Arabidopsis thaliana: one gene and its partner. The protein of the gene in region 1 interacts with the protein of each later gene in a pairwise test. Each region holds a gene or a part of one and is shown on either strand. Other genes may lie near its edges.

The links.
Region 2: the proteins of UPP (region 1) and AT5G10060 interact in a two-hybrid assay, tested with the Arabidopsis thaliana proteins (one large-scale study listed by BioGRID).

Annotation. Positions count from the first base shown.
Region 1 is NC_003074.8:19,955,825-19,960,941, reverse strand, and holds UPP (uracil phosphoribosyltransferase), read left to right. Parts: upstream 1-1,866; 5' UTR 1,867-1,935; coding exon 1,936-2,073; intron 2,074-2,092; exon of another isoform or gene 2,093-2,185; coding exon 2,186-2,287; intron 2,288-2,374; coding exon 2,375-2,453; intron 2,454-2,683; coding exon 2,684-2,742; intron 2,743-2,832; coding exon 2,833-2,910; intron 2,911-3,000; coding exon 3,001-3,082; intron 3,083-3,189; coding exon 3,190-3,238; intron 3,239-3,314; coding exon 3,315-3,376; intron 3,377-3,539; coding exon 3,540-3,607; intron 3,608-3,679; coding exon 3,680-3,735; intron 3,736-3,829; coding exon 3,830-3,877; intron 3,878-3,958; coding exon 3,959-4,028; 3' UTR 4,029-4,352; downstream 4,353-5,117. Other genes in the region: AT3G53910 (malate dehydrogenase-like protein), read left to right, coding at 496-517, 718-977, 1,042-1,086; AT3G53890 (Ribosomal protein S21e), read left to right, coding at 4,893-4,942, 5,057-5,117. UniProt on the Arabidopsis thaliana protein: Uracil phosphoribosyltransferase (UPRT) that catalyzes the conversion of uracil and 5-phospho-alpha-D-ribose 1-diphosphate (PRPP) to UMP and diphosphate.
Region 2 is NC_003076.8:3,145,106-3,150,388, reverse strand, and holds AT5G10060 (ENTH/VHS family protein), read left to right. Parts: upstream 1-1,988; 5' UTR 1,989-2,339; coding exon 2,340-2,415; intron 2,416-2,535; coding exon 2,536-2,783; intron 2,784-2,996; coding exon 2,997-3,152; intron 3,153-3,239; coding exon 3,240-3,399; intron 3,400-3,465; coding exon 3,466-3,611; intron 3,612-3,690; coding exon 3,691-3,726; intron 3,727-3,807; coding exon 3,808-4,395; 3' UTR 4,396-4,640; downstream 4,641-5,283. Other genes in the region: AT5G10070 (RNase L inhibitor protein-like protein), read left to right, coding at 65-135, 220-248, 360-406, 503-568, 655-695, 787-923, 1,001-1,091, 1,191-1,262 and 2 more; AT5G10050 (NAD(P)-binding Rossmann-fold superfamily protein), read right to left, coding at 4,746-5,085.

The DNA of each region.
Region 1 (5,117 bases):
TGTAAAATGTCTTGTACGGGGTTGTAAACTTATATAGTTATATTACAGTGAAAATAGATATTGTACAAGTTATAAAATCCTAACCACTTGGATAATCTACACATCCTTCGATTACTTTTACAATATAGCTGTATCAATTATCTTGCATTTGTGCAATTATTATATTGAATTTCAATTGAACCAATTATAAAATTTATTATGTAATTTAGTATTATATATTTTATCAATTATAAACAATTCATACTTTTTGCTATTATATATATAAAAAAATTTTAATTTTTAATTTTACTAATTGAAAAAGATTATATCTAACCACCTAACGACAACTCCTTTCTCGGATCAAGTTTTTTCTTGGTTCTTCTTTTCTCGGGGTACTTCCTCTCGGATTCTCTATGTCTCTTAACTCGGTCTAACCCGCTAAAGCTTAGCTCACATGCGGGTCATAAAATCCGATTACCTTTTGCGAAGTATGACCGAGAGTTGAAAGAAATTCGGATGTTCCTTAGAAACTCGGACCGTGAGTCCTTCTTTCTCGTTTAACTTGGAGTGTTCAATCGTCGGGTTGGAAGTGAATCGGATGATAATCACCTTCCTTCTCGTCTTTGTCCTCCGTTTTAAGTTTTTTTTCTTCCGTGAATTCTTTTTTTCTCTTCCTCTTTCGCGGGACTTAACATTTCGAGTTATCTCCGATCTAGGCTTCCCGATCTTTCACTTCAGCATACGCTATGATATCGTTTCTAAAGTCACTCATTCGTGCTCTGGACGGAGATGATGACGTCTTCGATTTTGCTTTTGTGGCCTCTTCGGTCACCGAGCTCCCTTATTTTGCTACGAGGACAAAGATTGGGAAGAAGAGAATTGAGGAAGTGATAGATTCAGATCTTCAGGGACTCGCCAAATACGAGGAGAGAGCGATTAAAGCTATCAAGCCGAGAGTGAAAGTTACCATTGAGAAAGACATCACTTTGCTACAGAGGGTAAGTGAATCTTTCTTACATCCACAAGACATGGTTCTATGTGTGTTGTTTCATCTTTCTCTAGACTTTTGTTGCTATTTCGGTTTACAAACTTTTGATTGTGGTTTGATCTTTCTCTAAACATTTTTTGCTGTATTTGGTTAAAGACTTTTGAGAATCTTCAAACAGGGCTTAGGACTTCTTAATTGTGCCTGAATTCTCAGACAAAGAATCCGTGTCTGGTTTGTACAGTTTCAGAGATTTGTTACAAAAACTGATGAATGAGTTGAAGAGGAGAAGAGTTAAGGAGTCTAGTCTAAATAAGTTTTCAAGTTTATTGTAATAGTAAAACCTCTATAAATTAATACTCGATAAATTAATAATCTATATAAGATTAATAATTTTTTCCAGTCCCGAGTTGGGACTGTAAAAAGTGACACAAATTGATAAATTAATAAAATAATAATTTTTTTGAAAATCCTATGTAAATATATGATCCCATCAATATTATAAATTAGTAATTGTATAAATATAAAATATATATATATCTAATATATTATATGTAAGAAATTTCTAATATTTTTTTGCTTAAACTCGTATTTGTTCTTATTTGAATTTAGTTATAATATTTTACTGTATCAAAACTTTTGATATTGTTTTATAGACATGATAATTATTTTTTACTTGCAATTGGTTTTAGAAAGATATTCTCTATGATGAAAAATATCTTGTAGAAACTTTTAAAAAGTTACTACATTAGAAAACTCTCTATGTAAATTAATAAATTATTTATTAATTTATTCCTTAATTTGTAGATTTCTGTTTGGAAAGAAATTGCTAAAAATTAATATAAAAGCCCAATGGGCCGTGTAATAAGTAGACCCAAAGTTATTCGGTACAGTAGTGACGACCGGTTAATCTTCGCCCGCGCTATCGTCATTGCAAAAATCTCGAACCAGATTCGGACATCTCGTCGAAAATGGCGTGCTCAATTGGTAACGCTTTCAGGTGTTCTTCTGATACGCTGCGTTTTGCTCCCCGACAACAATGCAGCAGCCGCCTAAACCCTAATCCTTCCTCTTTCCTCTCCTTTAATTCCTCCCCAATTCTCGCACAGGTATCGAGTATATATATATATTTATTCTAATGTCCAAAGCACACTTTTCCAGTAACGCCTTTTGCATATTCAAACTGAATTTTGATTTTCGAATTTCTGGATTATTTTAAAGAATTTGGGTGCTTCTTCTTCGTCACTTTCCCGACGGACTATACGAGCTAGAACAAAAATGGCTGCGTCGGAGGCTTCCATTAACGGGAGCAACAGGATGCTGGTAATAAAACTCTAGGATTTCAATTTTCAGATTTTTTTTGAGTTTGATTTGAAAGTGAAAGATGTGAATTTGATTCTGGTGTTTCAGGTCTTTGTGCCACCACATCCTTTGATCAAACACTGGATCTCTGTTCTGAGAAATGAACAAACTCCTTGTCCTGTTTTCAGTGAGTAGATAAGATTCTTATGAGTATTTCTGCGATTTAACCAGTGTTTGTTGTTAAAGAACTGAATTTTACATCCATTTTTTTTTTTTTTTTTTTTGATTCGTTGGACAATCTTTAGCTCTTAGATTGGTGTTATCTGCTACATTGCGTTTGAATATGAGTTTTTTTAGGTTTGCTACTAGTATAAGTCTGTGTTGATCTTTAAAGCTTGAGTTTTTTTAATTATCTAGGGAATGCAATAGCTGAACTAGGGAGATTACTCATGTATGAAGCATCACGAGAGTGGCTGGTGCGTAGAATTTCACATCTCTATTATTCTTGAATTCTTCCTACCCGTTTTTTGCTTATTGTTTTTTGTTTTTTGCTCTATGCGGTTAAGCCAACTGTTGTGGGTGAAATAATGTCTCCAATGGGTCCTGCTTCTGTTGAATTCATTGATCCTAGAGAGCCTATTGCGGTTTGTTTATCCCTCAAACTCTTCCTGTCTATATTTTCTTTTCGACCTTACATGTAAGCGTTTCTAATTCTTGGTTTTGTCTCTGTGTAGGTTGTTCCGATATTAAGAGCTGGTCTTGCTCTTGCGGAACACGCATCCTCAGTTTTACCTGCTAATAAAATTTATCATTTAGGTTAGTAATCTAGCTATATATCATCTCTTGCCTGAACTTCGGATGTCAAAAATGAAAACTTTTATCAAATAGCTTATTGATGTCCCCGTGCTTCTTTTCTTTTACAGGAGTAAGTAGAGATGAGAAAACACTTTTACCATCGGTGTATCTTAACAAGTAAGAACTTCTCTGCAGCATTGTGTTTGTAGTTACTGAAGTGTTTATAATAACACCTTTGATACATCTTCTTTAGGTTGCCTGATGAATTTCCCAAGAATTCAAGAGTATTTTTGGTCGACCCAGTGCTTGCCACAGGTAAGAAAGTCTTATCATTTTAGCCACCTCCATATTAGAAGTATAGTTAGGGTTTGATGTTCAAATGTACACGATAATATGTGAATGTGAACGCATGACATGGTAATACGAATGTTTCATAGCTAGAAGCGTAGGTTTAGTAACTTAGTAACTTGTATTTTAGGTGGTACCATAATGGCGGCGATGGATCTATTGAAGGAACGTGGTTTGTCTGTTCAGCAAATCAAAGTGGTAAGCATATATATAGGAAACAGCTTTTGTCAGAAATCGAAGTGTTAATTGTTTTGATTTTTCTGATTACAGATTTGTGCGATTGCTGCACCTCCTGCACTATCGAAGCTTAACGAGAAATTCCCCGGGTAATCAATAGCAAAAGATCAACTCTCACCTTGCTTACCATTTAGTTAACTCTCTTTTTACTAAACTGTTTGGCTACTATTTGAAACATTTCAGGCTTCATGTATATGCTGGAATTATTGATCCTGAAGTCAATGAAAAGGGGTAAGTCATTAGGTTCTTTGGCTTTCCATATGAAAACTGGCGATTGTATTTTAATGTCCTTATGTATTTGTCATGAACTAGGTACATAATCCCTGGGCTTGGAGACGCTGGAGACCGCAGTTTCGGGACAGAAACACATTGGGTGAAGTGATACTTGTATGAGTTGTTAAACTTTAACAGTCACAATCGTTAGATTATATATTGTGTCTCTTGTACTTTGTTTTTGATGTGTGATTTCAGGTTCTTGAGAGGGTTTCGATAAAGAGTCAAAATTTCACAAACAAGAAAAACTGAATTCCTCATTATTACAAAACAGAGAACAAACTTGTCAACCATTTTATGTGTATCATTCTCAATTGTCTACCACAAACCATTTTGGGAAAAAGTATGCAAGAAAATCTGAAAAATTCATCCATGAAGCAAACATTTGAACCAATAATAAAAGTTTGTTATCAAATTGAATGAACTTAAGTTACTACCAAACTGAACCAGTATTTATGGTTTGGTTACGTTCGATTCCGGTTACAATTAACTGTCGGTACAATTCTGGTTGAAAAAGTTTAGTATTTCGGTTTGATTTAATTTTGTATACCGCTCTAATTGGATCGGTTTTTATTGCTCTTCAATTAAAAGTTGAAGGGTATAGTAGTCATTCCTATGAAATAAGCAAACCCTAGCTCGCTACTATAAATCTAATAAACCTATGAATTAAGCAAACCCTATCTTTGTCGCCGCCAAACCTCTCTCAGATTCTTCTTCTTCCTCGCAGGTGAGAATTTCTCCGTAGTATCTTAATCTCCTTTCACTGTATTGCTAATTAACGCATCGGAATAATCTAGGTTTCGATTTCAGAATTAGTTATCTCGTTGTGTCTTTTGTTGATTATATATTATTGTTGAATGTGATCAATTATTCTTGATGAATCTCTTAATTCGAGGTTCTATTGCTCATCTGATTAGTTTTTTTGTTTGTTTACTTGCTCAGATCGATTTTTTTTTGAAGCTAAATCTCAAAAATGGAGAACGACGCAGGTCAGGTCACAGAGCTCTACATTCCAAGGAAATGGTATATATCAGCTCTCTTTGTTCTCTGTGTAACGTTTGATTAAAATCTTAAGCTAATTGTCTTAATTAAGTAGCCTAAGCTGATTCTATTGTTGTGTAATGGTAATTTGTTTAGCTCGGCAACAAACAGAATGATCACATCAAAGGATCATGCTTCAGTTCAGCTTAACATTGGT
Region 2 (5,283 bases), on another chromosome or scaffold:
TTACATATAAAACCCTAAGCCGATCAAAAAAACCTTTGCATTTGTCGGGAAAATCGCCGGAAAAATGGGTTACGGGAAGCATAATCGATCTAAAGGAGGTAATTCAAGTCGTGGTCGGACTGATAATCTTGCAAGGTAAATCTTATCTTTGCGAATTGAGGTTTAGCTCTGTTTTCGATTTGTCGTAGTTGAGTAATTGTGATTTCGTTGAAATTGCAGGGAAGATGAATCGCTTCCTCTTGATCAAGGTACTGAAAAGTTGGATTTTTATGTTGTGTGGTGGTTATGTGATCTGCTTTAATTGTTTTAGTATTACTACCAGTACCAGTAATGCTCTTATTGGGTGATTTTTTATGTAGAACCTGAGGATGAAGCACCAGTTCCAAAAGTTCAATTGGCAATGTGGGTATGCATAGTTTCCTTTATGTTTTATTCAAAGCCAATGAAACTTCGAAGAACAAATTGTTGCTTCAGTACTCACAACTGTGTTTTTTTTGTTTAGGATTTTGGTCAATGTGATGCAAAGAGGTGCACAGGTCGTAAGCTTGCTAGATTTAACTTGTTAAAAGTAAGTATCTTGAGCTAGTAAAAATATATATGTCCTCTTCTTTCTAAGTGTTTCAGCTGAAAAATTCTTCTGTGATGATTTTGTAGGAATTACGGGTTAACACTGGATTCGGGGGTGTTGTTTTAAGGTATACCTCTTTTTACTGTATCCTAGGGTCATTTGTTATGACATTGGATGATGTTTTTAGTATCGTATTTTGAGTCTCATGATATTGGCAGTCCAGTTGGTAGACAATGTGTTTCAAGGGAAGACTATGATCTGATTAAAAGGAAAGGATTAGCTGTTGTTGATTGTTCTTGGGCACGTCTAACTGATGTCCCGTTTGCAAAGCTGCGTTGTACTGCACCTCGTCTTTGTAAGAACTTACGACTTAACTGATAAATATGTATCCAGATCTCTAGGAAATGTTTCTAATTTCTTTTATGGTTGCAGTACCATGGTTAGTAGCAGCTAATCCAGTAAATTATGGAAGACCATGTGAGTTATCATGTGTGGAGGCTTTATCTGCCGCTTTAATACTATGGTGAGTCCATAACATCTTCTCCTAAAACCCATCCGTCTCTTCTATTCGTCATACATTATCCGGTTTTCTAATGTCTTACTCTATCTGTTTTCCAATCAGTGGGGAGAAGGAAACTGCAGAACTTTTGTTAGGAAAATTCAAATGGGGTCATGCCTTTTTATCTTTGAACAAGTAACAAAACCGAAGAAGTTCAACATCGTCACATCATTTTTGCTTTTTGATCGGTGAATACAATTGAGCTATGTGTCTTTTAACAAGGTCTCGCTATATCGCAGGGATATTCTAAAGGAGTACTCAAAATGTGAGAATAGCGCTGAGATCATCTCAGTTCAAAATTCTTGGCTTACTCAGCAAACTCAGATCCCAAAACAACCACCTGCGCTCGAAGAACGTAAAGGCACATCTTTTTCTAATCTCTCTGTCATTACCACATACCTAACATAAGCTGAAATCTCACTTGCTTCCTGTTATTTCTTGTTTTGGGTTTAGATGTTAAGAAAGATGGTGAATCTGGTGATGAATCAGAGGAGGATGATGAAGATGGCCTCCCTCCTCTAGAGAGGAACATGAACCATATCAAATTAGAAGACAGTGAGGAGGAAGATAGCGAGTGAAAAGCCATTGGAGAAATCCTATTTGATCTAAAAAAGTTTCCATCTTTGGCTTACACTACTTGAAAGCAATGTTTTTCAAGTTTTCACCAGATTCTTCTGGTGTATTAATACCATGTAGTATAATGTTTATTTAGTTTTATTAATAAAAATATCTACTATACATTCTTAGATTTTTTAAATTTAAAGTTTTTGTTTTTTTCCATGTAAATATTAAATCTTTTTTTTAGGTGAAACAAAATGATAAAATAATTGAAGTGGAACAAAATATGGAGAAGAAAGAAAGTGAAAGCCCATCTTAAAGTTTGAAAGCACAAAAGAAAAAAACACAAGTTTCCTGATTCCTCTCTTCTCTGCGATTTTAGCTCTAGGGATCGATTTCGGCGTCAAACGTCGTCGTTTTCGACCATCTCCTACTTACTACTACTCAGCTGCTTCTGCCTTCTAGGGTTCTTTCTCCGTTCACCCTCCGCCGCACGAGTTGTCCAGCTCCGCCGCATTCTTCTGTCTCCCAGATCACCGGCTTTAAGCAAATCCGGCTGCTTTTCACTCTAATTCGTAAACCACTTGTGGGATTTGAGCATCTTTTACATTCTCCAAAATCTCTGCTTTCTAGGGTTTTGTGAGTTTTGGTGGGATGAGTAGTGTGTTCAGTGATCAGATCCTGATTGATAAGCTCGCTAAGCTCAATAGCAGTCAACAGTCTATCGAAAGTATCCTCTTTTAACCACTTCATCTCGAGTTTATTATGAAAGTTTTTACCTTTATGCTTAGATCTTGTAATTGTGCTTAATTTTTTCGATGTTTGGTTTCTTGACTCTTTTGGAATCAAGCTCTGTCACATTGGTGTATATTCAATCGGAGCAAAGCAGAATTGATCGTTACGACATGGGAGAAACAGTTTCACAGTACAGAGATGGATCAGAAAGTCCCTCTTTTGTATTTGGCTAATGATATTCTTCAGAACAGTAAGCGTCAAGGTAATGAGTTTGTGCAAGAGTTCTGGAATGTTCTTCCTAAGGCTCTTAAAGACATTGTTTCTCAAGGAGATGATAATGGCAAAAGCGCTGTCGCACGTGTGGTATTTCTCTCTCTCTCTCTTTCTTTCATTCTTCGTTGGAGCTTTTGTTCTTGTCTGGTTAATGCTCAATCTCATGTTTTGTATTGGGGGTAGTCTAGTGTTTGATGTTAGGGATGAAGAGCTTTAAGGTTCTTGAGATGTGTGATGCAATACAGAAGACATGAATAGAGAAGTTAATTGCTAATTGAGATATTTGGTTTACGTGATTTGTAGATCAAGATATGGGAAGAAAGAAGAGTGTTTGGATCACGTTCAAAGAGTCTTAAAGATGTAATGCTTGGAGAAGATGTTCCTCTGCCACTTGATATCAGCAAAAAGCGGCCTCGCGGATCCAAATCTTCAAAACGGGAGTCAAAATCGTCCAGAACGGTAAAACACTAAACACCAAAGTTTTCTTTTCTCCCCTATTAATATCAGTCATATTGCATTTTCCCGGTTTTTTGCTTTTGGATGCAGAAATTAGCATCAAGTGGTGGTGTGGCTGAGAAGATAGCATCAGCATATCATTTGGTTGTTGCAGAAAACTCAAATGAAGAAGCTGAGATGAATAAATGTAAGTCTGCAGTTAAACGAATCCGGAAGATGGAGAAAGATGTTGAAGAAGCCTGCTCTACTGGTAAAAACCTGTTACACTGATTATCGATTATCAAAATCTAGTGTAAATCAACTTGTGTCTCTACAGCAAAAGACAACCCGAAGAGAAAATCTTTGGCGAAAGAATTGGAAGAAGAAGAATACCTTTTGAGACAATGTATTGAGAAACTTAAATCTGTTCAAGGAAGTAGAAGTTCCCTTGTGAACCAGCTTAAAGATGCACTACGTGAACAGGTACAAAATACTTTTCTTGCACTTAGCAAGTTCACTATTTCGGTAATCTAATTTTCATTCTTTTGCTTACTTGTGTCAGGAATCCGAACTGGACAATCTTAAAGCTCAGATTCAGGTATGTGTTTGAATTCCCGCTGCATCTTCGTTTTGTGACCAACCTGAGCTTTCAGCTAATGAACCATTTTGTTATTATTAGGTAGCTAAAGAACAAACAGAGGAAGCCCAAAACATGCAGAAACGGCTTAATGATGAGGATTACACATCAAAACAAACAACTGCTGCCACTACGATAACCGAGACAAATGACAACACCAAATCTGGTCAAGCATCAAAAATGACGCCTGCATCTATTGCTGCAATGCTCACAGCGTCAACCTCATCACATATGATAATGCAGTCTGTTCTATCTTCATTCGCAGCTGAAGCAACAAAGACTTCTGGTCTATCCAAATCAGAGAGCACAGTTCCGGTCTCAGACACTAATGCTTCATTCCCTTCTTACAACAACTCCCAGAATCAGACACCTACCACACAAGGTCAGTACCATGTAATACCTAATCCACCACCACCACAGTTCCTAAAACCACCGGTAATGAATAACCCTTACGCCTTTGGCAACATTCCGTTAATGCCACCTGGGCTTCCGCCACCACCACCACCACCACATTTGATAGGTAATCAACAGCCTCAAATTCCTCAGTCGAACTCAGCTCAGCAATCTCAACAAGGTCCAACTTTCCAGCCACCAGGGATAATGTATTACGGAGCTCCACACCATTCTTAAAATAGAAATGATGTTAGTTAATAGCTTTAGATAGTTCTGACCCTTTTTATCTGCTCGAATGCGGTTTCGATGTTACATTGTTGGGTCAAATCAAAGTAGAACTACTGTTCCTCTGGTTGTAGAATCCTCACCTTTTCCCGTTACAGATATTTGTACCACAAGTTTCTACAACATAATGTAATAATTTCTCCTGTTCACTCTCTATCTCCTTCCTGTATGTATGTATACTTCTATACCTTAAGAACCGAACTGACTCAAACATGGAGACATAAGAGATTCAATTAACAATTTGAACAAAGCTTTTACATTCGTGTTTAAGGTACATTCTGTCTTAAACCCCAACCTGATTATCACTTCTTCATTAAAACCTGCTTCTGGAAAAAATCTTTGAGCCATAAGGGCATATGATACATGACTGCCATGAGGGTTGAATACCTGCCTGACGAGAACCAAGCGGGTGGATTCTTCTTCAGCACTGCGGCTACAGTGTCTCTGGCAAATGTTTCTGCAGGAGTTGGATTCATCCTCTGTGATATAAACGCCCTTTCTCTGATAGCTTCTTCATAAGGCTTGTATAGTTTCAGCTCAGGCATTTTGTTGAAAGTTGCCACAGCTGAGTTTGCTATGTTTGTTCTTATTCCTCCCGGGACAACATTGATGACATCAATCCCAAACGGACGAAGCTCCAACCTGACGTTAAGCAGGAAACATTACAAAACAATTGACAAACCAAAACCATCCGGTGCTGGATAATTTGAACAACTACACTTGTCATGAACATCAAGAATCATCAACCTAACCCAACATCAGACTTTAGTCCTCAGAAATAATGATACTCAAGTTTGATCACACCTTAAAAAAAGATTAGACCATTTCAACAATTTTTAG